Canis lupus familiaris: one gene and its partners. The protein of the gene in region 3 purifies or fractionates together with the protein of the main gene of each other region. This does not show direct contact. Links are inferred from orthologs where the notes say so. Each region holds a gene or a part of one and is shown on either strand. Other genes may lie near its edges.

Region 1 (4,531 bases), on a different chromosome or scaffold from region 3:
ATTTGTTTGCTTTCTATCTACAGCAAAGGCTTTCCTTATCTTTTAAGTACTTACTGTTGTTTCTATGTATCTTCACATATATTTTTTAAAGCAAAGTATACCTCCAACATAGGGGTGGTTCCACCCCTGACCTCGAGATTAAGAGTAGCATGCTCTACCAACGGAGCAAACCAAGCGCTCCCATATTCCCTTTTATTTATTTATTTATTTATTTATTTATTTTATTTTATTTTTTTAAAGATTTTATTTATTTATTCATGAGAGACACACAGAGAGGCAGAGACACAGGCCGAGGGAGAAGCAGGCTCCCTGCAGGAAGCTCGATGTGGGACTCAATCCTGGGACTCCAGGATCACACCCTTAGTCAAAGGCAGATGCTCAACCACTGAGCCACCCAGGCGTCCCCCCTTTTATTTAAAAGATTTTATTTATTTATTTGAAAGAGAGACAAGCGGGGGGGAGGGGCAGAGGAGAGGAAGCAGTAGACTCCCCATTGAGCAGAGAACTGGACAAGTGTCTAGATCCCAAGACCCCAGGATCATGACCTGAACCAAAGGCAGACAGACGCTTAACTCACTGAGCAACTCAGAAGTCCCCCATCTTCAGATAGTCTAAACTACATAAAAATCATTGTGTAGGGGATGCCTGGGTGGCTCAGCGGTTAAGCGTCTGCCTTTGGCTCAGGACATGATCCTGGAGCCCCGGGATCGAGTTCCACATCGGACTCCCTGCATGGAGCCTGCTTCTCCCTCTGCCTGTGTCTCTGCCTCTCTTCTCTCTGTATCTCTCATGAATAAATAAAATCTTTAAAAAATAAAAATAAAAAAATAAAAATAAATAAAAATCACTGTGTATCCCCATATGAGCTGAGAAGTTAAACAGATATTCCAAACTCTGACACACTGTTAACTGACAGAATCTAAGGTCTAATTATACCTAATTCAACAAAATTTTCATGTACCAGATGTTACCTTTTATCAAAATAAATATTTTGTGCAAAAAAAATAAATAAAAAGTACCCAGACAAAACCCAAGCACAAAAAACTGGCTTAATTTATCATATATTAAGAGACCATCTCCCAGTGAGTTATCACACATTAAAAAAATAAACATATACTTTTATTATGCCAGAAACTTTCATGAGGCTATCCTACGGAAATATTTGACCTTGAGTCAATGAAATAAAAAATTGGAAGCAACCTATATGTCTATCAACAGATAAAAAAAAAAGTATTATGGTAAACCATTAAGTATTTCTCACCCTTTAAAAGAACATGATGGGGCACCTGGCTGGCTCAGTCCATAGAGCATGGGACACCCGATCTCAGGGTTGTGAGCTCAAGCCCCACATTGGGCCTAGAGCTGCTTTAAAAACAAAACAAAACAAAACAAAACAAAAAAAAACAGGACAGTTCTACATAATATATCATCAAAATTTTAAAAGGCTATAGCATTCCTCTTGCATAATCTCATTTTTACAAAGAAAAAATTGTACATAAATATTTATTCATAAACATAAAATTAGCTTGGAACGGTAAGTACTAATTGTGTACAGTATTCCCTCTGGGTGAAAGGGTGTGGAGTTTCACTTTTTCCTATGTATGCAATAATTTTAAAACAGGTGGGTATTGTTAAGGTTTCCCGTATTTACTTGCATTCTTCAGTACCTGTAAAATATGGTATTTTAAAATCTTAAGCTTCCTGCTTATTTTCGGTTTCTAAATTACAAATAAAGTACATCTCACTGCACAAAGAAAGTTCACTGACAACAAAAATGTGCTGTACTTGTAGCCTTCTGACCAAACTCTAGCCAGGCTCCTCTGAGCCCTGCTTTTGGGCCTCATATGTGGCCCAGAAGGACATGAACAAAATACTGACACAATTTCTAATTGCCTAGGTTGACTCTTTAAAGCGCCTACCAATATGTTGGGAGATTGAATTCAAATTAAAAAAATGCAATAAAAAAAATAAAGCGCCTACCGAGCTGAAAACTGACAGCTGTCGTTAATAATTTACGGCTTGTCCCAGCCAACACCTAGAGACAGGGCCCGTCTCTGAGTTCAGAGAAGAGCTGTGGGAGAGCGGAAGCCTAAATTCCATAAGCGCCAGTTAACATAAATGACATAAACCCTCAAATGGGTTTCAAATGCACCAATCCCCCTTTCCGCGTTTTTTAATTTTTCACTTCCTTGATCTACGGAGACGCGGCAACCCCTTCGTTCCTTCGTTCTCCTTTAAAACGCCCAATCACCTCCGTACAAACAGAAACTGAGTTCAGTCCACGCTAGCCTCTTTTCCCTATTACAATCGTGCCCGAATTTCATTTTTATTTTTTTAAAGCAGGCTCCTCGCGCAAGCTCGTGACCCGGAGCTTAAGACCAGCAAGCTAGGGCTGCCTGGGTGGCTCAGTGGTTGAGCGTCCGCCTTTGGCGCAAGTCATGACCAGAAATCCAGTCCCGGCGCCAGCTCCCCGTCCCCTGGCCCTGCCTCTCCACCCTGTATGCGCGCCCTCTCGAAAGAAAATAGGAAAAAAAAAAAAAAAAAAGCCTGGCATGCTGTACGGGTTGAGCCGGCCAGACGCCCCAGCCCCCTTACTAAAGTCTGTCCTTCTCACCTTAACCAGAGTGGGCTTTGTTCATCCTCGTCTATTTCTGCAGCACTTGGTGGTTCATCACATACAATAAACGACTTAAACGAGTAAAAAGGAGCCAACGGCTCCAGGATAGAGGCTGGAATCCCGCTGGCCCCTGTCGAGGCACCGTGGCCCGCGGGGGCCCCCTCCCGCCACATCCCCATCCTCTCTGCCCCTGCCCGTCCGTGGGGACGCCAGGCCTGCGGCGAACACGCGGGACAGCCGGGAGCAGCCGCGCAGCCCCAGCCCCACCTTTGGGAAAGATGAGCTGTGAGGCATCCTCCTCGACGTCGCCCGCCCGCGGATCGCTACCTCCAGCCGCCATGGGCACACCGCGCCGGGGTCCACGCGCGGGCCGCCGAACGCGCACGCCGGAAGCGCAGGGGCGCGGGGCTCGGCCCCGGAAGGGGCGTGGCCGACGAGGTCGGGTGGGCGTGGCCGGCGGGGCGGGTGGGCGTGGCCGGCGGGGCGGGTGGGCGTGGCCGGTGGGGCGGGTGGGCGTGGCCGGCGGGAGGGCAGGAGAGGAGGCCGGTGTGGGAGGCGCGGACGCCCCTTCCTAGTCCCGCGAGGCTACCTGCGTGGCTCGTGCTGTGCCCGGTTACTTGTCCTCGGCGAGCCTCGGCCTCTGCGTCTTGAGGGGTCGTAAGGTTGTGGGTGGGGTTCAGACCCCGGGAGCTCCCGTTGTGGACGGAGGGTTAGTGGCCCTGAAAACGTACAGGGGACTTTCTTGCAGCGCTTTAAGTCACTTAAACCACTGATTAGGGTGGCTGGCTAGTGGGTGGTTGTGACTCTTGATCTCAGGGTTGCTAGTTCGCGTTCCACATGCAGTGTAAGGGTCACGTAAAAATAAAATCTTAAAAATTAATTTGGGACCGCCTGGCTGGCTCAGTGGGAAGAGCGTACGACTCTTGATCTCGGGGCCACCTTGGGTGTAGAGATTACTAAAAATAAATAAACTTAAAAGAATTATTTGTAGTGGATTATTCCGATGCTTCCAAGCAGCTGGAGAGTGATGCTGACAGTCCTTTAATTCATCTGTTGAAACATTTGGATGATACGTAGAAAAGTAAGCCAATCCGGAGCACCTGGGTGGCCGGCGGTCGAGCGCTTGCCTTTGGCTCAGGGCGTGACCCCGGGGTCCCGGGATCGAGTCCCGCGTCGGGCTCCCCGCAGGGAACCTGCTTCTCCCTCTGCCTGTGTCTCTGCCTCTGTGTGTGTCTCTTACGAAAAAATAATCTTTTTTAAAAATGAATTAAGATGTTGCCAGAGAAGAATATGTGCTTGTATTCCTTTGATTTATAAATATAATAACTTTTATAAAATTAATTTGTATATTTCCAGTAGAAATATGTTGGGTAGAATAATAGATTATATAGCATAGCCAGAGCTTATGACTGTTTCCAAGTGGTTTCCTACACAGTTCATTAGAGGCACAGGACAGAAGTCCTGACATGTCTGGAGACATGAAGCCACTTGGCGTCAGAAATGGGCCTGGAACTCAGTGTAGACCTCTCTTCCATCTGTCCATCCAGCAGGCCCTTACAGAGCACCTAATGCCTACCATGTGGTGGCTCAAGAAACACCCAACACTTGGTCTCCTGCACACACACATCAGGAGAGAAGTCAACAGGTGAAGAAGAAAGGAGAAAATGTTTCACGAGGTGGTTTGTCTACAACATTTTCATTCAGAAAACCATTATAAACATTTATGTTGAAAGCCCTGGGGTTGAAAAGATGACTCAGTCATAAATCTGTCCCTACAAGGAGATCACCAGACAGTAGTTGATGCAAGATCTGGACTTCTTTCCATAATGAAAGAAAGTGGTAAGTAGTAAGACAAAAGAAAGTCAAGGAAAATGCTATAGAAGGATCCCTAGAGAAGAAAGTCACTTCTGGTTG
Region 2 (3,755 bases), on a different chromosome or scaffold from region 3:
TGTACTTTTCTGGAGGTTATAGTTGACAGAATTTGGAGAAATTGTATACCAAATATTAATGCTGATTAAATCTGTAATTATTAAAATAGTGCAGGAAAAACTGCAAGGCACAGAAATAGGCCCATACCACAAGACACATGGGAATTTAATATTCTACAATGATAGCATTACAAATCAGTGAGGAAATGGCTTAAAATACTGAACCCCCCCAAAAAAAATATTGAACCAATTGGTCAACTATCTGCAAAAATTAAATCTTACAACATCTTCAAATAAATTTGAGATGGATTAAAAATTTCCTTTTGAATTAAATGGAAGTATAAAATGGAATTTTTTAAAAAGTAGTAGAAGAAAATAAGGATGAATACATATCCATCTTGGGAGTAGGGAAGGCATGCTCAGGCATAACAAAAGTAGTCTTCTAAAGAAAACTTCTACACCGAAACACCACAAACTGTATTAAAAAGAAAGTAACACACTAAAATAAGAACATATGACAAAAGCCGGACATCTTAATTCATCAAGAATTTATAGACCAATAAAAACAGCACTTTCCAAGAAAATAGTTAAAATATGAATAAGCAACGCTCAAAAGAATGACCATTAAGTGGTCAATAAACATGAAAAACCATCCTTCATTAAGCAATCAAAGAAATATAAATTTAAAAAATAATCCTTTCTTGTAACTGATTTGCAAACACTTTGAATATCAATTTTCAGTTCTGGGAGTTCAGTATTGCTAGGAGGAATTTAAAGGGACTCCATCTTTGTGGTGGGTGAGGTCTATCGAGAATCTCAAAAACTTATATACTTCCAACTAGCGATTTCACTTCTAGAAGGCTATCTTCCAGAAATAATTTTTTGGACAAACGTGACTTTAAGATGTTAATCACATTGTTTACAGTTTACACTGTAACTAACATTATTAAACAATAAGTTGATTTTAAAAGTTCTGGCAGACCCATTAAATTGAATATTCTGTAGCTATCTAAAATGCAAATTATCTATTATGGGAAAATGTTTAGGACACATAGAGCAGGCTATGAAACAATATATATAGTATGATTGCATTATTGAAAATAGAAACAAAAAATACGTGAAGTACATATACCCAAACCTTAATAGAAGTGTTCTCTGGGTGATCCGACTACAAGGGACCATGTGTACATGCATTTGAGCCCTTCCATATTACTTGGCTTTTCAGAATGTATCCTTTTATCCTCTAAGGAATAATTTTATGTTGTGAAATACATTTACTATTAGTTTTTAAAAGTACAAATAATTAATTTGTTAGCTCAGTATATCTTTACATTGGGGGGGTGGGGGAGCTGGGGTGGCAGGGGCATAGAAAGCTGTAGCTGCTCCTGGAAGTTCATGCTAGAGAACTGAGCTCTTCTTCTCACTCCTAAATGTGTTTGCAGGAAAATTTCATATATGAAAGTCTCTTTTAAAGCAAGATAAATTTAATTAAGCACCAGTAAAATACCACCATTAACATTGTAAGTTGCTCTAATATTTTATTCTTCCTTTCAACACTGTTTGAAGTCTCCAACATATTAAACAAAGAAGTCTTATAACAACTACATAATCCTTTAAAATTACATAAACACAAATACATAAGAGATTGAGATTTCTGTAGCCTAAATATGCCTCTTTGGATGGGGGAGGGGGGCAATATATTGACAATCCAATTGTAGCTTTAAAAAAAAAAATGGTTTCCTTACCAAAATGAACCTGTCAGCTCTGAGAGTAATCACCTCAAGTCAGGTCAAGCCTAAGAATAGCTACTCCCTTCACCTACAACAGTCACCCTAGACTTTCCCTCCAACTCGTGTTACTCCAGGCAAATCTGATCATCTAAAGATCATCCAAGCTCCAGCATCACTAAAAGTACTCCTTATTCCTAATCAGAAGAAAGATAGCATCCTTCCTAAGGGAAGACGGAAGGAGACAAATATTTAAGAATTTCCTAGGAGTGTCTTCCTAGGTACTTCACATGTGTCCAATACCTCAATAACCCCATGCAAACATGCACAAAATTCTCTAGACTGCTCCCTTCATTACTCAAAAGAGGAGGGAACTTTATCTTCCTAATTCATTTTAGCTGATGCCTGGGGCAACCAAATATTTCACTGAAAGACATGTAATAAATGCTATTCCACTGAGATAAGAATAAGGAAGAGCAGTTACCTGCCTCATTTGGCTTAGAGGAAAAAAATACTGTGCTTACTATGTACTAAAATATCAGACCAACACACAACATACTGCAAAACTTTAATACAATATGATTAAACATAATATTCAAATTTTAAACTTTCTAAGCACATGAAAGTCATCTTCTGAAAGACACACTGGGCTATTTTTATAGCTACCTTTGTGTAACTTTGTAAAACTCCTCCCCTCAACAATGTGACTCTGATCTTGATACTTGGTAAAAAGTCTGATGTAAGATCATGATATCTCAACAGGCAGACATTAAGGTGATGATTCCACTGCTCATCTTCAGAATTCATCATCAGAGGACCGATCATCTTCATCCCTTACTTCTCGATACTTCCTCGAAGTCTCCCCTTCTGGATTATAGCTCTGCATCTTAATATTCAGTCTTTCAGCTAATTTTTGTGCCGCGAGTTTGGCTTGCATCTCCTTTAAAACAAAAATCAAAGCAAAAAGTCACACATTCACATCTTTTTCCCTACCATTTTTCCAACAGGGAGTCACTTAAAGAACACTGGAAATAAAGGGGCATACCACTCCCCTCAGTGCTCTCTAGCAGTGTGCAAGTTTGAGGTTGTGCCTACTGCAGATACAGGGGGGCAATGCTGGTGAGAGCTACTAGCCCACCACCGCTATGGTCAGATTTCCACTCAGACAGACAGTGGTGCACTGATTACCCCACTTCTCCACGGCAAACTGAGTAACAGGCTAAATGCTGCAACAGTTGCAAATATGAAAAGATTTTTAAGTATGTGGATACATGCATGTGTACATACACACTCACACAGCAGTTTGAACTATCAAATGCCAAAAATCACTAATGCTGTCCTGATTCTCCAACAAAGAATCTTCTTTCCTAGATGAAATCATGGCTTTTAGGCTTGAGATTTACATTTCAGTTGCACAATGAAAAAAAAAAATCAAGAAACCAGTACTTCTAAAAAGCTAACTATCCCCTCTCCAAATTAAGTTCCCATGAAAGTTACTATGCAACACAAAGCCACATAAATTTCAGATGCAGGCAACGTGCTCATAAGACACCCAAGGGCACAACCTCTGACTGATGGCAGGGGCAGCGCAATTTTTAATCTGGCTCTTCACTTTTCTCCTGCTTCTGCCCCTACAACTTGACCCTCTCCCCGTCCTTCCTCTCAGGCCATGAATATTCTGGGTAGGCAGAACTGAAATGGGAGCTATTACCACTCTGCCAAGGAAACCAGTTTCAAAGGAACCAAATTCAAGCTAAATTGGACAGGCACTTAAGATCATATAAACAATTTAGAAAACAATTCCCCAAGGGTGTAGTTGTAAGTAGGCAATAATACTCTAATACGTGAGGAAGAAAAATGGCTAAAAAGGAATGCCTTGAAAATGCCAATCCATGCCAAATGAATTTTTGTAAAAAGTCAAGGCTGAAAAACAGCCTCATTTTGTCTTGAATAGTGCCTAGTGCCTGATTAAGATCTAGCAAAGCAATGCCAGGAAGTTAGGCTATTTTCCTGGAGGTTCAAACTCTTACTATCTAAGGATATTGGATG
Region 3 (4,320 bases):
TGGGAGATGAAACAAAATGGGTATGAGGTTCTGGAAAAAGAGGAATGTTTCCATAAAAGTGATCTAATCTCTCACCGAACTACACTAACCCTAAGTTTCTTAAAAGCAATATGGTTTCAGAAACCTTCCTTGCTCAAACTCCAAATTTATATAATGTCACCTCTGAAGAGGCAGAAGGATATCAACCTATATTGAAATGTCTCATATCTCTACATTTACCATTTCTCCTTTGGCTTGAGGGATATTTGATTTGCAAAAAAGACTGTAGAAATTTGATAAAAATAAAAATAGAAATGTCACAACAGAATTTTAAAGTACATCTGTTTAATAATAATATAACCATTAATGCAATATCTGCCTCAATAATTTCATTCCAATAATAAAAAAATGATATGATGGTTTAAAACTGGTTCAATCGCAATTTTAGAGGCTTATTTATCAAGAGTGAAAATAGAAGACTATTAAAAAATAGCTAAAAAGGTAACATGTGTCATAGTGCTTAATGTTTCTGTAACTGTTGGTAAGGCTTACATCTAAATTTGATGCAGAACTCTTAATGGCACTGAAATAGTTCTTTTCTCACCCACATGGTAGATACCGGTACTATGAGTCTGGAAGAGACTGGCTATGGGTACCACTCCTTGTCTTCAGTTGTGACTGTGCAATATCAGCAAGTGCACTTTGTATCTTTTCCAGAAGCATGTCCCCTCGGTAAACAACATCCTCCAGACATGTAGCAGCTTCGTGGTTTTCTTCTTCCAGCTTATACAAGCTAGCAGCCTTTGTAAGACACAAATTTAAAAATCTTTTGAGAAATGAAAAACTTGGAGATTAGTTAAGAGTTGAGAAGAAAAAAAACTGCAGAAGTATTTATTTTTAAATCTGGATGATTCTGCAACCATTATGATAGATTTTTCAGTGTCAGAAATTCTAAAATCAGGGGACGCCTGGGTGGCTCAGCAGTTGAGCATATGTCTTTGGATCAGGGCGTGATCCTGGAGTCCAGGGATCGAGTCCCACATCGGGCTTCCTACATGGAGCCTGCTTCTCCCTCTGCCTATGTCTCTGCCTCTCTCTCTCTCTGTCTCTCATGAATAAATAAATAAATAAATCTTTAAAAAAAAAAAAAAAGAAAGAAACTCTAAAATCAGGTAACTTTTAAGGAGCTTTCCCTGTATGAATTACTTAAAAGAATGAATTTTCAATTAGAGATCTCTGTCTAGATGTGACACTCTAGATGTGACACTGCTTTTGGACACTACTATTCTACACACCCAGAATGCCACTCTCCTCTCATTCTTTGCTAGGAAAAGAGCCAAACTGAGAAGACTAAGAAGTTTCCTTATAGCTCGAAATTGGACAACCATATATATTCAGCATGATCTTTAATAGACTACAGTAGTTTACAATTAAGAAAACTTCCATTTTAAAACTTAATCTTGGGGTGCCTGGCTGGCTCAGTCAGTGGAGCACGTGACTCTTGATCTCAGGGTTGTGACTTCGGTCCCCATGTTGGATGTAGAGATTACTTAAAAATAAAATCTTTCAAAAATAAATAAATGAAACTTAATCTTAAGGAAACTTTGAATATTGTAACAAAAGGTATTAAATCTTTGGGGCAATGACTGGCTCAGTCAGAGGAGTGTTGTGATTCTTGGATCTTGGGGTCATGAGTTCAAGCCCTCATGGGTTCAGTGTAGAGATAACTTAAAAAAAAAAAATCTCCTGGGCAGCCTGGGTGGATCAGTGGTTTAGTGCCACCTTCAGCCCAGGGCATGACCCTGGAGACTGGGGATCAAGTCCCACGTCGGACTCCCTCCAAGGAGCCTGCTTCTTCTCTGCCTGTGTCTCTGCCTCTCTTTCTCTCAGTGTTACACACTCTCATGAATAAATAAATAAAATCTTAAAAAAAAAAAAAAAAAAAACACCTCCTTTAATCAAAATACTCTACTAGCAAATTTCTCAAAGGAAAAGAGATTTTTACCTGTAAAGCAGCTGTAGATTCTTCACTGGGTAATGAATCTATCAAAACATCAATGTCCTTTGCTGTTCGTGCAATTAGTGCTGCAAAAAGCTGGGCATATTCTAAAGAAAGATATTACTCATTTAGAGTATTAGGAAATGTCAAGTTTTCAGAAGTAGAAATTAAATTTGAACCTAATGAAACCAGAGAAGGTCATAAACTTTTTCTGTACTATGCTTTGAATGATTAAAATGTAATTCTAACACACCAACCCTATCACATGTTTGAGAAGTAGCCTTACTATTAACTCAAATTGGGAACTAAACATAATTATTTCATTTTTTTAGGACAGTATGTCAGTCATTTGAATAAAAGAATATGTAAATGGAATGCCTTCCTTATTAAGGCCCCTCAAGTGAAATTCTGCTAAATTCATGTAAAGTCAGCTGTAAAGGAATAACAATCTGCTTTTTGTCATGAACAGAATTACGAAATGTAGAATATCTAATGAAATCATCTTTTATAACAAAACTTACAGTAATATTCTCAAATCATAAGTAAGCTGTATTTCTCAATAAATTTAATATTAAAAGATTATAAAGATTATAAAGGTCAAATGAAGAGAAGCCAAGAAAATCTATTTACCTTCTGTAGGATTAGCTGGCTGATCTTTGTTAATTGCTGTCTGAATATTACTGAAAGAAGCAGGAGGACCACACTGCTGCAACACTCCAATGGCATTACAAAACTGATCTGCAAGCTTGAAGCCAAAGAAAATGTGTCAGAGTTAGAAAGGACTGATCAGTTTTAAGGATTTTACCAGTAACAGCAACAAAAATAAGTTTCTATAATAACAATATCTAAGCAAGGGAATAAAACAGGAAGAATCTGGGATAAAATTAGCTAGTTATTATTAACAATGATTAAATGTTTAATCACGCAAGGAAACTAGGTTTGGTATCAACATAGTTGAAACAGTTAACAGGAAATACAAGATAATCTTTGTTTTCTTCCCAAGGTAACAGAATGATAAGAGAAATAAATGCCAACACTTGTTACAAGCAGAAGTAGGGATTTTTGGGGGGTAGCGGTGGAAGAAAGCAAATCTACTGGCAAATATGTAAGTATGGCCTTAGGATAAATTTTAAAATATGTAATTTATATACAAAGTATTTGATCCCTTTTTTGAGACTAAAGTAGTTACAACTATAAAAAAATAGTGGGGAAAAGACTCCACCTGAAGAAATTATAAGGCCATGATGCATGAATGAAAAAAGAAACTGTGGTACACACACACAGGCACATCATTCAGCCATTAAAGAAAAACGGGGGAAATCTTGCCATTGCAACAAGAATAGACCTTGCGGGCATTATGCTAAATGAAATAAGTCAGGGAAAGACAAATATTACATGATTTCACTTATATGTGTAATCTAAACAAAAACTGAGCTCACATACAAAGACTCCTGGTTATCAGAGGTGAGGTGGGGCTTATGGTGGGCAAAAAGGGTGAAGGGAGTCAAAAAAGTACAACCTTCCTATCCCCTTAAGTCATGGGGATATAACATACAATATGGTGACTATGGTTAATACTGTTTGTATATTTTAAAATTGCTAAGAGAGTTATCTTAGAAGTTCTCATCAAAAGAAAAAAAATGAACTTTATAACTACAGTACAGTGACATGTTAACTAGATTTATTGTGACTTCACAATATATGCAAATAGTGAACCATTATGTTGTACACCTGAAACTAATGTTCTGTCAATTAAAAAAAAAAAAAAAACCCTCTACCTTAAGTACTTGGAAATGTTTTCCTCTGTGACTCAAGCTGTAAACTCCCAGTGCTCTAACAGTATTCCTTAAACAGTTTTGAAGACAAGAGAATACCAGTTCCTTACAGTTGGCAAAGTTAAAACTCCTATCCTCCCCACTAGCTTCCCTCAATAGTCCTGACCTTTTGAATCTCACTTATTTCCAATCTGTAACTATTTCCACTAAGTTTCTCTGCCATTTTTTAAATGACTGAACTCAAAGTCAACTGTTTCCTTTAATATCTAATCTTATTGAGAATCTCCTAGTTATAAACCAGTCTAACTTCAGACTCTTAATCTCCTTTCATCTTCAAATAGTTCTATTTTCTTTTCATTCTATCATTGGAACAGCAGGAGTTCAATTATCTCACAACAGAATTGTTACAATAGTCTCCTTCTAGTTTTCTAGTTCACTACTTATTTTACCCTGCTTAAAAATTCTGAGCTCAGGGGCATCTGGGTGGTATAGTTGGTTAATTGTCCAACTCCTGGTTTCAGCTCAGGTAGTGATGTCAGGGTTATGAGATCAGGCCCTGTGTAGGGC
Region 4 (3,755 bases), on a different chromosome or scaffold from region 3:
AACTGTTTTTCTTTTTCTTTTTTTATACTTCTACCTAGCATGCATTATTTTATTTCATTTTATTATTTAGTCATTTAAAAAATAAATAGCCCTTTTAGGGAACAATTTTAGGTTTACAGAAAAATTCCCTGAAAAGTAGAAAGTTTCAGTATACCCTCTCACCATCCTCTGCCCCAATTTGACCCAGAATCGTTGTCCTAATCTTTTAAAGTTTTGATATGTGCATTTGCTTGAAAGTAGCTGCTCACCTATCATTGAATATCTCAAGTTTGTATAGACAGAGCTACTTTTTTTCCTTGACTCTTTCACAATTCTTAATCTATTTTAAGCCTAATTGAAAATTGAAGGAACATAGTCAAAGGGATACTGTTTTTTTATTGTTAGCATTCTGTTCTAACTCTGGGTTTTCAAATATATCTTTCATAAATAAATGTTAAATTGTCAACTCTATTTTCTGCTGGGACTTTTGGGTTTTTTATTCTAATCTATGGAATAGTCTGTATTGGAAAATTCTTTTTCCAATTTTTATCATGTTATCTTCTGAAACCTAAGCAGAGTTTCTATAATATGTTTTTTTTTTTTTGACAAAGCAAGAGTGAAGTGTTCAAAAGAAAACCTTTTTTTTGTTTAAACAAAAAAGAATACATAAAATAGTCACAAATACAACAGGCAGAAATCAAATTACTAGAATGAAATTACCAAGCCTTTTTTTCCTTTTTGCTATACTCTTAACACTTTTCTTTTATTATTAAAAATTTTATTTATTTATTCGTGAGAGCCACAGAAAGAGAGAGAGACAGAGACAGGCAGAGGGAGAAGCAGGCTCCATGCAGGGAGCCCGATGTGGGACTCGATCCCAGAACTCCAGGATCACGCTCTGGGCCAAAGGCAGATGCTCAACCACTGAGCCACCCACGCGTCCCACACTTTTTAAGTAATGGGGAAAAAGACGAAGATGGTACAATTAGATCAAATAAGATGTAGAGAAATCATAGATTTATAGCAGTCTTTGGAAATGTGTGGATATGTGTGTGTGTGTGTGTGTGTGTGTGTGTATACATGCCTGTAAGGCTTTGCCTAGGGAGTACAAATTTTTACCTTGAGAGTTACAATATATAAATGCCATGGGACATTTGCTTTTCCATTATAGTTATTTTGTTTCTTTTTTTCTACAGTGGCCATTCTGGAAAGGAAGTACAGCTATGCACTAAGGCCATTAAAACATCAGATATTGACAATCCTGGCCATTTTGAGAAGCATTATGAATCTGGTTCTTCCAGCTCTCATAGTGATAATAGCAGTGATAATGAACAAGACTTTGTTTCCTCCATTCTACCAGGAAACAGACCAACTGCAACGGGTATAAGTCCACAGCTGCACAAAAAAAGCATAATGAAAAAGAAAGCTGGTCAGAAAGCTAACTCCAAACATGAAGACAAAGAAGAGACGGTAATAGATGTCACTGAGCAGCTAGGCAAGTGCAGATTAGATAGTCATGGGAAGGCTGCTGCTTGTGAACTTCCTTTACAGAAAGTAAGTCCTCAGATTTCTTCAAATAGTCCTTTGCAAGAAAAATTAGAAGCTACAGAAAATTCTGAAAATAAATACAGTAGTTCAAAAATAACTCTAGTAGGCATAAGTAAGAAAAGTGCTGAGCATTTTAAGAGAAAATTTGCCAAATCAAAGCAAGATTCTAGGCCAGCCTCTAGTTCAGTGCAGATGTGTCCTGAAGTTGCAAAGGCAAACTTACTTAAAGTCCTGAAGGAGACTTTGATTGAGTGGAAGACAGAAGAAACTTTGAGGTTTTTGTATGGCCAGAATTATGCTGCTTTGTGTCTGAAACTTTCTTCAGCCCCTCTGGTTAAAGAAGAAGAACTTGATGAAGATGACATACACTCTGACCTAGATAGGCATTTCCCTGCCTTTCAGGAATCTCAGAACAGCTTGGATGAGTCTTTACCTTTTAGGGCCTCAGATACAGCCATTAAACCACTGCCAAGTTATGAGAACTTGAAAAAAGAAACTGAAACATTAAATCTGAGGATAAGGGAGTTTTATAGAGGACGATATGTTTTGAGTGAAGAAACCATCAAATCACAAGACTCAGAAGAGGTATGTCTAAAGATAATAAGTTTTCTGTGCTGCTAGCATATGGGACACTCACCACAGCAAATCTTGAAAGGGGAATAATATTGAAGAGATAATTGTTAAATTTTCAGAAGATTGGTTTAGTTCAGTTTTTTGGTTTAAAATGCCATCCCCGGGCAGCCCTGGTGGCCCAGCAGTTTAATGCCGCCTTCAGCCCAGAATGTGATCCTGGAGATCTGGGATCGAGTCCCACGTCAGGTTCCCTGCATGGAGCCTGCTTCTCTCTCTACCTGTGTCTCTGCCTCTCTCTCTGTATATGTCTGTCATGAATAAATAAATAAATAAAATAAAATAAAATAAAATAAAATAAAATAAAATAAAATAGCAAGCCATCTCCAATATTGGAAAATAGTATTTTCCAAATAAGTTGAAATCTGCCCCCAGAAAATTCCACAAATATGTAGTATTTTTCTCTAATGTAGAAATAGCCTAGAATTGTGGGACAAAGTTTTCTTTAAAACCTAGTTCTTTATATAATATGCAGACTCTCTGAAAGGGTTGTTTTTTTTTCTTCCCTACCAACAAATATTCTTTGTATTCTTTCAAATTTCTGCAAGGGTATGTATCTTTGTATTTTCCAGTGAGACTATATGTAGTGGAGTAGACTTACTAGTTGAATGATAAAGTATTTATCTGGATATTTGGCAAGCATGCCCATTCAGAATAATACAAATGAAAATATAGTAAAGGAGACATATTGGGAAATAATGGACACGAAGGAGCACATCAGACCTAGATTGTAATATCTGTTCTCATTTACTAGCTGTATGAAAAGTTGGTCTCTTGAGTCTGAGTCTGTAAATGGGATTATAAAAATCACTTCAATTGTGTTATTAGATGGTATTCATAAGTTGTATAGTAAGCTTGGAGAAACCTTGCTCTCTAGTCACTCAGCTGCATAAAACTACATTAATATATCATTTGTTTTATCATTTTTGTGCTGTAAGCTTTAAACAGGAAAAATTATACTAGAAAGAAAATTGAGGGCAGCCCCGGTGGCGCAGTGGTTTAGCACCGCCTGCGGCCCGGGGTGTGATCCTGGAGACCCGGGATTGAGTCCTGCATTGGGCTTCCTGCATGGAGCCTGCTTCTCCCTCTGCCTGTGTCTCTGCCTCTCTCTTCACTCTCTCTGAATGAATAGATAAATAAATCTTGAAAGAAAGAAAGAGAAAGAAAGAAAGAAAAAGAAAGAAAGAAGGAAGGAAGGAAGGAGAAAGAAAATTGACTATTCCTCTTTTGCATAACATTTTTAAATGTTTTCATTGAAGTATAATGCAGATAGTAAGTGTACAACTCACTGAATTATCAAAAGGAACACAGCCTTGTAATCATTACCCAGACCAAGAAATCTGAGTACAACGAAAGCCCCACTATGTCATTCCTAATTATTACCTCTTTCCAAAATGAATAACCATTATAACAACATGGATTAGTTTTGCCAATTTTGAACTATAGTAAATTTACGTAATAGATATTCTTTGGCTTCCTGTTTATTTCACGTAACTTTATGTTCATGAGTCATTTGGGTTGTTCATGTGGCTGAAGTTCATTCTTTCATTGGTTGCATAGTATTTCATAGAAATTTGCCATAATTTATTCATATTAAT
Region 5 (4,453 bases), on a different chromosome or scaffold from region 3:
TGTATCACGGAACATAAAACTAATCCTACCAACCCACAAGAGATGTGTTTACTGTAAAACCTCAAATCTCAACTAGACCTTTGACCCAAGAAAACCTACCTTTATAATGACTTTTCTTATAACCAATACAGTGATATCAACTAATGCTTTCAGATCCTAAAAGTTTCTTTAAAAAGCGTATTTTGAAGATACACAAACTGATCTTATTCTATTCGAGAAACTTTATTAATTCTGCTCAAACAAATTTCACTCAAGAAGAAAAGTGTAGTCGAATCAAGAACTTTATTAGAGGGGAAAAATATTAAAAAAAAAAAAAGAACAATGAGAAGCAGGAATTAAATTTAGCTGTTTTTTGGTTGTGGCCCATGCTATCAAAAAATACAATTCAAAAGCAGAATCCTCAATTTTTCTCACAAGTTACCTACTGAAAGGAAGCTATTTTTAACAACAAAAATGAAAATACATCTTAGAAATTCCAGATCAAGTGTATCACAACGTAAGCACGAGGAGTATGAAAAACACACAAGGTGGGATTTGTTTTGTAATGCCAGTGTCCAACCAGGAAAACTAGATGTGCTCTTCCCCAAGTATATCTGCTAAGATTCCTTACAGGGACACCAGGAGAACAAGCAGAGCTAATATTCCAGAAGCAAAATACAAGTTAATTATAGTGCCTCACAGTCCAAGATATTAATTCAAGGACGACACCTGGCAAGTAACTGCAAGAACCATGAGTTAAGCTACAACTGAACGCCATGGGGCTCGTCCAGTTCAGAAGGCAAAAGCTAAACGCGGCTCACAATCCTCTCTCCGCACGTGTGCAGCACCTCGTGAGGCCACGACGCTCTAGGGCGAAACGGCGTGTAGGGTCGGGCTCCGCGGGCTCCCCGGGCACCGGCGCGCGGCCCCGCCTGCTCCGCCCTGGCCCCCCCACACCAGCTGCAGCGATGGCAACAGGCAGGTGCGCAGGACGCGACGCAGCGCCGCCAGTCCCACTAACGTCGCCGCGGCCGATCCTCCCTTCACTCAGGGATGTCCCGTTACGAGCCTACAAACTCTCTCCCCCGAGTGGTTTCTGACAGCCTTGGGAACCTAGGCGGGAGGGCTCGAGAGACGTCCCCGGGCTCCCGGCTCCGGGGGAGGAGGATCCCCGCCAGGGTGGGCGGAGGGGAGGCCAAGGGTTCACCCCGACCCTCCTCGCCGCGGGGAGCTGGTGCCTCCGGCCCTGCAGCCCGCGCACGGCTACCCTACAGGACCAAGGACAGGCGCTGTCAATACTTTCTCCAGCTCGCCTTCTCCTAAGACGGCGATCCATGGACGCTTCTAAGAGGTGTTACCACGGGTCGCCCTCAACTCCCCGGGAGAACAAGAGATCCAGGCCCGCCTTCCGTCCTGGCCCATCCAGGTGCTCGGGAGCCCCCAGCGCGCAGTCATTCGGCCAGGGGGGCGCAGGGGAGGACCTCAGGATGCCCCAGATTGGGGTGTGGAGGACCTCAGGATGCCCCAGGTGCGGGTCTGGAGGACCTCAGGATGCCCCCAGGTCGGGGTGCGGAGGACCTCAAGATGCCCCAGGTCGGGGTGCGGAGGACCTCAGGATGCCCCAGGTCCGGGTGGGGAGGACCTCAGGATGCCCCAGGTCGGGGTGCGGAGGACCTCAAGATGCCCCAGGTCGGGGTGCGGAGGACCTCAGGATGCCCCAGGTCCGGGTGGGGAGGACCTCAGGATGCCCCAGGTCGGGGTGCGGAGGACCTCAGGATGCCCCAGGTCGGGGTGCGGAGGACCTCAGGATGCCCAAGGTCGCGGGGGGTGGGGGGTGGGGGGACGAGTTAGGGAACTAGGCGAAGTTCCGCCGGTAAAGCGCGGCGGGTCTCCCGGGAGGTCCCACCTCGGAGGGGAGGCGCGGAATTCACAAGGTGCAAAGGCGGAATCGGCGGGGGGAGGATGGATCCCGAAGTCGGCGGGTGTAGACAGGGGCTGCGCCCAGAGCCGGGAGGCTGCCCGGGCCCCCAGCGCTCGGCCGCGCCGCCGGCTCCCCGGCTGGGTTTCAAACCGCCGCCCCCGGGGAGGCGCTCAGCCGATTGGAAGTTCCGCCACGACCGTCACCGGCCCAGGGCCGGAGCGGCAACTCCTCGACGAAGCTCTCCCGGCGCCCCGCGTGCCCCCCGCCCGCCCCCGAGAGCAGACCCCGCCAACTCCACCTCCGCGGAGGTGCCCCCTCGAGTCCCCGCCGCCAGCCCGGGGCGCGCGGGGGGCGCCCTCGGGGACGGGACCGCCGCCCCCCGACCGGGCTGCGCCGCGGGAGTCCGCGGGGCGCGACGGGGCCGCGCGGGGCGGAGGGTGCAGGGTGGAGGGTGGGGGGGCAGCGCCCGCGCCCCCCAGTCCGCGCCGGGACGCGCGGCCCCGCGCCCCCCGCCGCCTCGCCCCCCGGGAGCGGCCCGCCCCGGCTCCGACCCAGCCGCCCCGCGCGGTCGCGGGCAGGGCGAGGACCCGGGCGAGCCCGCTCCCCCCGCCCCTGCTCTTACCCATCTTTCCGCCTCGCCTTGTAGACGTGCCCGTAGGTGCCGCGTCCCACTTTGCACCCTTCGTACTCAAACAAATCCTCCACCCGCTCCCGCTCCGCCGCCAGCTTCGCCTTGAAATCATAATCCATTGTCTGCTTTCCCCATAGAGGCACCGGGACGCGGGGGCCGCCGCCGCTCAGTCCCTCCTCCTCCTCCTCCCCCCGCGCCCGCCGCTCCACTTCTCCAACAGCCGCCTCTCGGGCGCGCGCGCGCCGCCCGCCGCCCCGCGGTCCGCCTTCAGCAAGGGACTCCTCGGCGGCCGCGGCAGCCACCTCCTCCTCCACCACCACCTCCTCCTCCTCCTCCTCGGCGGCGGCGGCGGCGGCGGCTCCCGCAGGCAGCCCCAGTCCCGCCTCCCCCCTTCATTTCCTTGTTTTGGAACCTGGTGGGCCGCGCCGCGGCTTCCTCGAGCTCATTAACGAACCATCCCGCCCACCCCGAGGTCGCGGGGGCTCCTGGGAAATGTAGTTCCGGAGGGCCCCAACAGCAACCGAGTTTCGCCAGCAGAAGAAATACAACACCCAGGCTGCTTTGGGCCGCCACAGCCCCGCCCCGCGAGGCGGGCACGCCTGCGCACTGCGGCCGCCCCTCCCCCTCAGGTAGCGCCGGACTGCCAGTTCCTGTGAAGGTGGGAAGCTTCAAGTTGCCGAATTCTTTCTGCGAGTCTGTGGGGGAGCGGGTGGAAAAAAGGCCCTTGTTGTGGTGTAGAGGAAGGTACTCCACTATCACTGCCCCCGGGCGAGAGGGAGAGTGGAAAGTACGTAACAAGTGCTCGGCTCAGGAGTTTGCGCCGGCGGTTAGAGAGGCGAGGACTGTGGTTAGAGCAGTTGTGCTGCAAGACGGTTTGTTTTTCGTGGCGATTGGTCCGCTCGTTGCCCCGCCCCCCTCCGCCGCTCATTGGCTGAGACTAGAGAATGACGTCCTCGTCGGTGCGTGGGTATCCCCGGGCTTTGGCTCCTTTCCCGCTCTTGATTGGTAATTGGGTGTGCTCGGTTGTTCTGATAGGTCCATCTTTTTTCTTTACGATGCAAAAACCGTATTTCAAAAGCTGAACCCTCAGCGGTTTCCTAGGGCTGGCGTCGGTCTGCGGAGAACTTCTGAGGCCCGGCAGCCAATCATCCTTTTCCTGGCGCTCGAGTCATGGTCTCCTCCCACCATATGCGGTTCCCACAGCCAAGCTTTGGGCCATCTGTCTAAGGACAATTCAAGTGCCAGGAGGATGCATCGTCTTAAAAGCAGGCATCAGGTTTGCATTGTAAAAGATGTTTGTTTTTTTTTTTTTTTTAAGGTCTGTGCATAATGGTGACGTTCTCCAAGGATGTCTGAGAAAGTGTCCTTAATCAAGGTGAATATGGATTCATTTAATTCCTGCGTCCTTAGGATGCTTGGGATACGATTTTATGCGTGATTGGTGCTAGGATAAGAATAATATACCACATTTAGTGGGAGCACAAAGGAAGAATTGGTCCCCTTTATCTAAAGTGGTAAGGAAAGTTAGTAGTGACACCTCCCCCCCCCCCCCCCGCCCACCTGCTAGGTTTGGGAAGAAACCTGGAAAACTTGGGAGTGGGGGATGGAGATCATTGATTTACTACAAGAGTAAATTTCTTAAGGAACTTTCTCAGATCTTGAAGTCAATCAAACGTATCTGAAAATCTTAGTTTCTCTTATGTCCAGGAACCAGGGTGAGTGCTGGAGATACCAGATGAAAACTGGTCTTTTTCCATCAGGGGAGCTAAAACCTATTGGAGAAATAAACACGCAAGCAAATTAAAAATAAATGGTGTGGGTACAAAGAGCAATGATAGACTAGGAAGACTTCTGGGGGGTCAGGCCAGGCTTCACAGGGAGGTCAGTTTGAGCCAAAATTTAAAGAACCTTATGTGAAGGGC
Region 6 (3,755 bases), on a different chromosome or scaffold from region 3:
AGCTCGCTGGGAGCTGAAAGATACGTCCCAAAATTTAGCACGCTTTCCCCAATTTTGGGGATACATAGTACTACTCATTCAACTATATCTACACCTTATGTTAAACTACTGCATAAATTAAAAACCGACTCCTATATAACAGTTTTATCTCCCAAATTCAAAATAGATCCTGGTGGACATGAGTTGAGAGAACACTGGTAAGGACAGGGTGAAGTAGAGAAATTAAAACTTCTGTAAAAACAAAATCAGAGAAACAAACCCCTCTGCCTAGGAAATCCTCATTCAGATTCTCATTTAGTATAGATGTTAGGATGACAGAGAAGGTATAGGAGACTGTGCCAGAAACTTCTATAACTGTGCAAGTAACAGAATAGAGAAGTGTTCTGTGACTACCTAGTCCAAGGCTCTACTGACATCCAATGACCTGATCGTGACTTCTCAGACCTAACATTCTCAATCTAACAAGAACTGAGATGAATTAAAAAAAAAAAAAAAAAAAAAAAAAGTCAAGGAAAGCCAATCAAAGATGAAAGGTTATTACACATGGATATTAAAATACAATTCTGTGACTCCTTAAAGAGGTTGGCAAATTTTAGTTAAAACTGGACCAGTCCTCCAAATGAAGGGGCAAGGGCCTCGACGGCCCTCATCGTGCTTTCTGCCATTCAGTGTCTATCCCCTCTGCAGTCGCACTCCAAACATTAGCTTGTTGAAAAGCTACTATTTCAAAACCTGTCTAGTTTCTCTGATGGGCATTAGAGATACCACAGTTTGAAAAAATAAAATAAAATAAAAAGCAAGTCCCTAACTTCATGGTCCCTACATTTATTTAAGTAGACTGACCAGCCATTTTCTTTTCAAACATGATCAGAGGAGAGAAATTTTACTTACTGAAAAGAGCATTTAATGTTGTTTGTTTAATACTGTAAGCTCCTAAACTCAGAAATGAGGCACGGCCCTCCACGTGGCCCTTTCTCTATTACTGCAAGAATATTTTAGGCATTTCCAAGGGCATCTGAGATATATATAATGCATATATAATTATGTTTTCTCCAACCTTTAAACTACTGAAAAAATTACAAACCATACGTAAATATGTATATGTATATATATATATATTCTCTTAAGGTGAACTTTTCTTTTTAACGTGAACTTTTAAAAATAATTTTTAAATGGAAATCCTGTTATGCTTCATCATCACCAAATAACATTCAAACAGGAGTACAAATTATAATGCTCTTTAGGACTCCTCTAAAATGATGCCTATCTACTTTCTGTTCTAATCAAAGAGAGCTCCTTCAGAACATAAGACTTTTGTTAAGTCAAGGCCAAAAGAGGGTTGCCACAGTTGGAATTAGGCAGTGTGGACTTAAGACTTACTACTCATTCAAATCCTGAACAATTTATAGAATAAAAATGTCTTAAAGTATTATACTATAAATGAACAGAAAATGCAGTACTGCTACCCCAGGAACGGATATGCCATCAAGAGTATGATGGACATCTCGGAAATTATGGATTAAACTTTTTAAAATCCTGACATCTAACGTTGATTTGCCAATAATACTGACATTATTGCAATTATTACCTGATTTATGAAAAAGCTAAAGTAGAAGTTTATATAGTTGTTCAGGGTCACAATAGGAGCAGAGACATTAAGATTAAAATCCAGGTTTTCTGGTGTTCTACTCCTGATATATAATAAAACAGTTCAACCTTTGGTTAGATCACCGTGGCATTTGTGTCCTTCATAAAATGTGACTTATGCCAACAAATAAAGATAAAACCAACCTGTGGGTCTGAGATCTCTATTATATCAAACAAAATATCCTGTAGTTAAAATGTCATCCAAAAATAAAAACTATTATATTTAAATTCCCTGAGAACTGTAGGTAAGGAGCAGACAATTCAAGTCCAGCTGATCTTGTACTTGGAGAAAGCCAACTAATTTTGCCAGGAGAACCAAACCAAATCAAACCAAACCATGTTGCTAATAATATGAATTAGAGTTGATCCTGAATATAAATTATTTTTCCTCTGTTTCTGGTGATTAACCACGTTTAGTGCCAGGATAGTCTTACCAAGCATCATAATCGCTTTTAAAACAGCAAACACGGCTCCCACTTCAATGCTGTTGTGAGCAGCGGCTAAGAGGTGTCTATCACAAGATGATCTTATTCCAGGGAAAGGTTTGCCTAGGAGGAGAACAACAGCAAACTTTGAATGGTCTCATGACCGTCCCTAACAATCTTTCCTAACCATTTACAATCAGCAGAGTCTTTCACTCTTAGACTGTGTGTCCTTAACTGCCATCAGCTAGCTTTAATCGATGCTTCAAGGATTCACTAAGAAACGCTGTCAGTATTCCTTTCTTAAAATTCTCTTTTTTAATTATTAAAACAATGTCTTTGCTCCCTAGAGAGACGGATCAAAACAATAAGGACTTTCATCTACGTACGTTGGTTCTCACACACACACACACACACACACACACACACATACCCCTGTATGGAAATGACCTTTGGAAACACACTCCACTAACACTCCTAGACCTCTTACCGTCTTCCTTTTACCTTAGTAAAAGAATAAATGAATCATCCCTGCCCTAAGCTGCTATGATGTGGTTCATAACCAACATACATAGTAGATGAGAGGATCAAGCTGCCCACCAGCATGGCTCGGCCTAAGAGCAAAAGTATTTTTATTGTTTATTAACTCCTGATTTGAGTTTCTCAATACATCCTGATATTGCATAAATCAAAGGTGCTGACGGCCCTCTCAGGGGCATTACTGCATTCCTTCCTCACCTGCAAAAGCAAGCTCAACCCAAATCAGGAAGGAAATGACAAAATGGACAGCCTACTTGGTCATTTTAGAATCTCTACCTCCAAATGAAAACGTAATCAGAGGTTTTTCAGCTGTCAGCTCACCGGTTGCTTGAGGTAATAAGCAGGCCTGGGGAGCTCGGAAGAGATGAAGCAGGAGTCGGCATGTCATTCTCGCCCCAGGCTCAGCATCTGCATCTCCACAAGCTAGGAAAGATTTTAAGAGCAAGTTTTCTAATTTATTCAAGGATAGGTCTTCAGGTTTCCCATTAAGCTAACTTATCTGGACTAATTTAAATGTAAATGCTCCTTACTTTAAGAAGTTAAGGAACTACACTATGCTTTTTCTGCTTTTTCGAGAAACCAGAGTGCTTCCGTAAAAACCACCTTTTCCATAGGGATCCATTTGACTTTGTATAGAACTACACTGACCATTCTCAGACCTTTACCTCAACGTCACACCACTGGCTGATGCATGGACCCTGAAACAGTATGTTTATTGTTGTACTAGCTAGAAACCACCCCCAGACAACCATCAAATCACAAGGGCCATTCTGGATGTGCCGTACCTGCTGCTAGGAGAGAAGGAAGCGCGACGTGCTGCACGACGTCCTCCAGGGAGAAACACTGTCGTGCTATCAGAATAGCAATGAAAGTAGCTAATGAATCATGGAATGAAAGGTCACTCACCTTCAAGAAAAACATTGACACGTTTTAATACCTAACACCCTTTCAAGTAACATCCAAGATTAATATCTAAGTGAATGTAGGCAATACCAGTAAGATCTAAAATCCCAAAATGAACCAATAGAGTGAAATGAGAATACATCAGGTTCATGATCCTGTAAGGACTATTTCTACTTTGTAAGACAAAGAATGAGGATTACCTAATTCCTAACCTAACAGGAGATACTGAGTTTTCTCTAGAGT
Region 7 (4,433 bases), on a different chromosome or scaffold from region 3:
TACTAAATCAAAGAAGAAAAAGATGTGATCCTATGATAAAGAAAATGTAGATTACTTTGACTTGGATCAGATGTGGAGGGGGAAGCTGAATGCCCACAGAAAACATAATTATATTCTTTTAGTAAAAAGCATAGTATAAAGAAATAATGGAGAATATTGAAAAAAAAAGAATAAAACACTAAAAAGCTTAATGGAAACTCTTTTTTTTTTTTTTTAAAGATTTTATTATTCATTTGAGAGAAAATGAGAGTGAGGGCACGGCCAGAGGGAGAGGGAGAGAAAATCCCAAGCAGACTCCGTGCTGAGTTGTGGAGCCCAATCTCACAAGCCTGAGATCATGACCTGAGCTGAAACCAAGAGTCAGACACTTAACCAACTGAGCCATCCAGGTGCCCTGACTTAGTGGAAACTCTTAGTGATACTTCTTCACTTTCTTAAAATGAACTAAGTTCTTCCTTGGAGAGCTCCCAGTCTTTCTTTTGGGCTGATGAGATACCCCAGAGAAGGTATCTCTGTCTCTTTGGCTGCCAGTCTAAAAGCCAACCCAAGACTAGGTTTGGGTCTCAGTATTAAGTTTGTGAAGTTTCTCTTAATCCCTCTTTTCAGTATGGCTCCCTTTCTCCAACTCCTGCCATGTGCCTGGTGTTCCCCAGTCCAGAGACACTCTGGCTTATTTTTAAAAATAAATTTTGGGGGGAGAGTAATCCTTGGTCTGCCAAGATGGAAGATGGGCAGTCCCCATCTGCTTAGAGTGGGGAAGAAGGCTATGGGATCTGATTCTTACACAGACTTTAAGTAATCCTCCTGTTCTAGTCTCACTTTCACCTCTATTTCCAGGAGTCCCTGACACTGCCAATTCCTGAGCTTTGGGGAGAAGCCATGGTCAAAGGCAGCTGTGTCTGGATGGTTCTGAGGGCTCATAGATGGATTAGCCTTTAGCCATCTGCTTTGTGACAACAGCTGTTCTTTTTGGTTTTATGCTTAAAAAAAAAACAAAACACTCCTCACTGTCCTTTCAGAGAGTATAGAGATAAACACATGTGATCAACCTGCCATCTTTCACAGAAGGCTGCTCTTGAGTATACCTTACAGCAATCTTAAAATTTAAGTACTGTTATTCCATTTCGCCAAAGAGACTCAGAGAAGCTAAGTCATTTGACCAAGATGACCTAGGCCCTACACAATAAAGCTGTAATTTAAATGTTTCAGGTCCACTGTTATTATTCACGTATGAGAGATAAGAAAATAAGGCCTAGAAAGGTTATGTTTTAATAAGATTACAAGGCCCACTTATAATCCAGCATTGCCCTGAGATTTGGGGGTCTCCATGTGTGATTTTTTTTTTTTTTTTTTTTTTTTTTTTTGCCATCGCACTGCTCCCTAGAAGTGCCACTTGATGATCACAGGCTAATGAGAACAGAACAGAGTCTGTTTTACCCTATAAACGGTATGTTCACACCAAGTGAAGCCAAATGAAGGCAGGGTCTAATGTGAGAACAAAGGCTTTCCAGCTGTTTAAAAAGGGGTGGAAGCATGAGGTCATCCCACAGCAAGTGAATCTAGTCCGGCTAAGCTCAAAAGCTAGGCCAGTAACAAACAAGACTTTCATGTTGTAGGTAGCAAGTCCATTTCAGCAAGACACCCAAGAGCGCATTAATGCTCACTTGAATGTCACAGTAACAGTGACTTTGCTTTCATTTACTTTGTTTTGGTTTTTAATGGCTGAATAAGTTATGAGCCTGGTTTACCCTTGTATCATGTGGATATAAATAAGGTATCAGCAGAAATAATTTAGGAAAGCATGGGGATCACGGAGCCTTTTGGCTGCACTACTTTTTTTCTTTTACAGAGTCAGTTTGAAAATTCAGGCTATAATCTAAAGACTGGCCAAAAGAAAGACAAGTCGGCCAGCCTGGGGAGCTCAGCTGGCTGAGTGTGGGACTCTTGATTTCCGCTCAGGTCATGATCTCAGGGTGGAGGGATCCAGCCCTGCCTGCTCAGCAGGGAGTGGGCATGAGATTCTCTCTCCCTCTGCTCCACCAACGCTTGTGCTCAAGCTCTCTAAAATGAATAAATCAATCTTGGGAAAAAAAAAAATGAAAATCACCCTTTTTGGCACGATGTAAGAACAGTCCTACAGGGCCAACTTCTATCTTTGTTTCTTCTAAGTTCACTATCATCAACCCTCCAAACTCTCTGAAATAGGGGTCATTTCCATCCCTGTCTTTTTTTCCTTCAAACTGATAAGCAATGTTGGGGGAGGGGGGAGGAGAAGTTGGCCCTCTTTACTGTGTACATTCCACGGACTTAGCAGTGTGCCACACAAGGAAGATGATCCATATCTGCTGGATGTGTTGAAAAGACAACACCCAAGTGTTACTCCTCTATTACAGGTGCGAAAACCGAGGCTCAGAGACGCTTGACTTGCTCCAGGTCACTAAGATGCAAACTTGAGTCGTCTGACTGCAGAGCCTTCATTTTTAAGACTATCGCCTGGCCATCGTGAGGTCTGGCAACTCTCTCAGGGTTCAAACGTTTGCCGAACTGACGCTGTGACCAGGTGTGGTCGTGGGAAAGGCCTCCTGCCCCTGGCTCTGTTTCCCCAGCGGTAAAATGGGGCTGTGCCCGAGAGCACCTAGGCCTTTGCCGCTCGGAAACACGAGACGAGAAGCGGGAGGGCGTGTCGTGGCTGGTCCTCTCTTGGGCTCTTACCATTTGATGATGTTGTGAACCAAAGGTAAAAAGGAGTAATTCTCCTCCTCCTTCACGCCGGCCGGTGACTGGGGCCTGGTTGCCGGCGACTGCTGCGGCTGAGGCACGGCGACCGGAGGCGGCGGCTGCGAAGGCGGCAGCGGCTTCGTCTCGGGCAGCGACGGCTCGGCCGGCGGCGGTAACGCATCCTCGGCCTGTCGCCCGGCGGCCACCCCGGCGGAGGCCATAGCGCTCGGAACCGCGCCGCTCGGGCAGCAGGACCCCAACGGTCAGCTTCTCAAAAGCGTCGCGGACCTCAGACGTCACCGCTCTGCGCCCGCGGTGGGCGGGCCCTGGAAAAAGGTTGTGCGCGTGCGTACTAGGGTGTGGGCGGGGCAATATCCTGGGGGCGTGGCTGATGTTACTAGGCAACGGGCGATTGACGGATTTGGTTGTAAGTAGAGGCAGCTAGATTATTAAATAGTCAGAAACAGATCCATTTGAGACATAACATTCTTATTCACACGACAAAAAGGGTCCAAAAGCAACTAGTACAGGAAAGCTGAGATGCATGACTCCGCAGGGCCCCGCCCTCGGAGAAGGCCTCCCGACCACCTTGAACCACATGCAGAGTAAACAACTTCCTGCTTTGTGTAAAGCATTGGGCCCTACGGGCATTGAGAATCCAGAGATGGAGGGCCTACACCTCCTACACCTCGCAGATGCCTCCAGGAGGACAGGCAGCAAACCCTGACCCAGCTGAAGTGTGAGACTGTGTTAGCCCAAAGGGGCAGAGACAAAGTAAAGTGAGTCTCTAAAAGCTCCCCAAGCCTAGATAGGGAGGAACTCATAATTCAACATTGCATTTTCTGGATGGCAGATGCAGTATTAAATGTGAAGTAGTGGGTAGGAAGGCTGTCCTGACTTCAAAACAAGGCAGAAGGGGATTGACTAGTGCCAAGAATAAATGCATCCTACAGGAAAGTCCACCTCGGGTATTCTCCATACGGGCAGGCCAGTTCCTTGAGCTCCTAGGTCTGTTTCCTTAACTGTAAAATGCTTACTCCAGGGTCATAGCAAAGCCTAAATTGTTTTCTAACTTCAGGTACATGGCTGACCTCCAAAGGTCTGGTTTGTCCCCAGGATCCTAGGTCAAAAACATGGTGGTGATGTAATTATATTTCTCAAAACAAGTGTGATATGGGGGCTGTATAATAGATTTCTGGGCAATGGGACACCCATCCTAAGCTCAGCTAGTCAGTGGGAGAGGACATGAGCTAGGAAAGCCCCAACCTTTCAAAGTCTACCATCAAGGGTCTTAAAGAGAGGCAAGGAGGCCCATATTCAGGTGGCAAGATGAGCTGGAGCACTTAAGAGCAAGGGGGCTGATTCCAGGGAAAGCATTGACGCTACTATTTTCAGATGCATCAGGAAAGGTTGATGGAGGCAGACCCTAGGGAAGGCAGACTGTAGAAGGAAATAGGAGTTGGAGAGTGTGCTCCAACTCTTTGGAGCACTAAAGGCTCTTTAGTGATGGGCCTTAGCACAGCTTTCTTCAGCAAGAACTGCCTAGAGTACCCCCAGGGGGGAAAGCAGGGAGAAGGAGAGTCTGCAGGGCTTTCTTATTGCTACCCATGGACTTATCCACTTTAGGGAAGAGTTTTAGGAGTCCTGGTAGAGAACTTTCCTAGAGGAGAAAGGCCTGTTGGGATCAGACCAGGTGTGCTTGAAGAGGCTATCCC

The links.
Region 1: the proteins of MED21 (region 3) and POLR2D purify together in Homo sapiens (affinity purification with mass spectrometry; 4 studies listed by BioGRID and IntAct, with this or other methods). This does not show direct contact. The link is inferred for Canis lupus familiaris from reciprocal best matches to the Homo sapiens genes MED21 and POLR2D.
Region 2: the proteins of MED21 (region 3) and POLR2M purify together in Homo sapiens (affinity purification with mass spectrometry; 3 studies listed by BioGRID and IntAct, with this or other methods). This does not show direct contact. The link is inferred for Canis lupus familiaris from reciprocal best matches to the Homo sapiens genes MED21 and POLR2M.
Region 4: the proteins of MED21 (region 3) and RPAP2 purify together in Homo sapiens (affinity purification with mass spectrometry; 3 studies listed by BioGRID and IntAct, with this or other methods). This does not show direct contact. The link is inferred for Canis lupus familiaris from reciprocal best matches to the Homo sapiens genes MED21 and RPAP2.
Region 5: the proteins of MED21 (region 3) and CDK19 purify together in Homo sapiens (affinity purification with mass spectrometry; 6 studies listed by BioGRID and IntAct, counting the BioPlex papers as one, with this or other methods). This does not show direct contact. The link is inferred for Canis lupus familiaris from reciprocal best matches to the Homo sapiens genes MED21 and CDK19.
Region 6: the proteins of MED21 (region 3) and MED12L purify together in Homo sapiens (affinity purification with mass spectrometry; 3 studies listed by BioGRID and IntAct, counting the BioPlex papers as one, with this or other methods). This does not show direct contact. The link is inferred for Canis lupus familiaris from reciprocal best matches to the Homo sapiens genes MED21 and MED12L.
Region 7: the proteins of MED21 (region 3) and MED9 purify together in Homo sapiens (co-immunoprecipitation; 8 studies listed by BioGRID and IntAct, counting the BioPlex papers as one, with this or other methods). This does not show direct contact. The link is inferred for Canis lupus familiaris from reciprocal best matches to the Homo sapiens genes MED21 and MED9.

What each region holds. Positions count from the first base shown.
Region 1 is NC_049240.1:24,109,392-24,113,922, reverse strand, and holds the start of POLR2D (DNA-directed RNA polymerase II subunit RPB4), read right to left. Parts: upstream 3,039-4,531; 5' UTR 2,958-3,038; coding exon 2,885-2,957; intron 1-2,884. UniProt on the Homo sapiens protein: Core component of RNA polymerase II (Pol II), a DNA-dependent RNA polymerase which synthesizes mRNA precursors and many functional non-coding RNAs using the four ribonucleoside triphosphates as substrates.
Region 2 is NC_049251.1:23,190,211-23,193,965, reverse strand, and holds part of POLR2M (protein GRINL1A), read right to left. Parts: intron 2,647-3,755; coding exon 2,503-2,646; 3' UTR 1-2,502.
Region 3 is NC_049248.1:25,934,815-25,939,134, reverse strand, and holds the end of MED21 (mediator of RNA polymerase II transcription subunit 21), read right to left. Parts: intron 2,724-4,320; coding exon 2,609-2,723; intron 2,086-2,608; coding exon 1,985-2,085; intron 781-1,984; coding exon 604-780; 3' UTR 589-603; downstream 1-588. UniProt on the Homo sapiens protein: Component of the Mediator complex, a coactivator involved in the regulated transcription of nearly all RNA polymerase II-dependent genes.
Region 4 is NC_049227.1:57,113,206-57,116,960, reverse strand, and holds part of RPAP2 (putative RNA polymerase II subunit B1 CTD phosphatase RPAP2), read left to right. Parts: intron 1-1,175; coding exon 1,176-2,112; intron 2,113-3,755.
Region 5 is NC_049233.1:67,739,047-67,743,499, forward strand, and holds the start of CDK19 (cyclin-dependent kinase 19), read right to left. Parts: upstream 2,835-4,453; 5' UTR 2,651-2,834; coding exon 2,523-2,650; intron 2,055-2,522; exon of another isoform or gene 1,886-2,054; intron 1-1,885.
Region 6 is NC_049244.1:46,482,156-46,485,910, reverse strand, and holds part of MED12L (mediator of RNA polymerase II transcription subunit 12-like protein), read right to left. Parts: intron 3,516-3,755; coding exon 3,395-3,515; intron 3,033-3,394; coding exon 2,931-3,032; intron 2,196-2,930; coding exon 2,082-2,195; intron 1-2,081. UniProt on the Homo sapiens protein: May be a component of the Mediator complex, a coactivator involved in the regulated transcription of nearly all RNA polymerase II-dependent genes.
Region 7 is NC_049226.1:42,191,876-42,196,308, forward strand, and holds the start of MED9 (mediator of RNA polymerase II transcription subunit 9), read right to left. Parts: upstream 3,009-4,433; 5' UTR 2,940-3,008; coding exon 2,713-2,939; intron 1-2,712.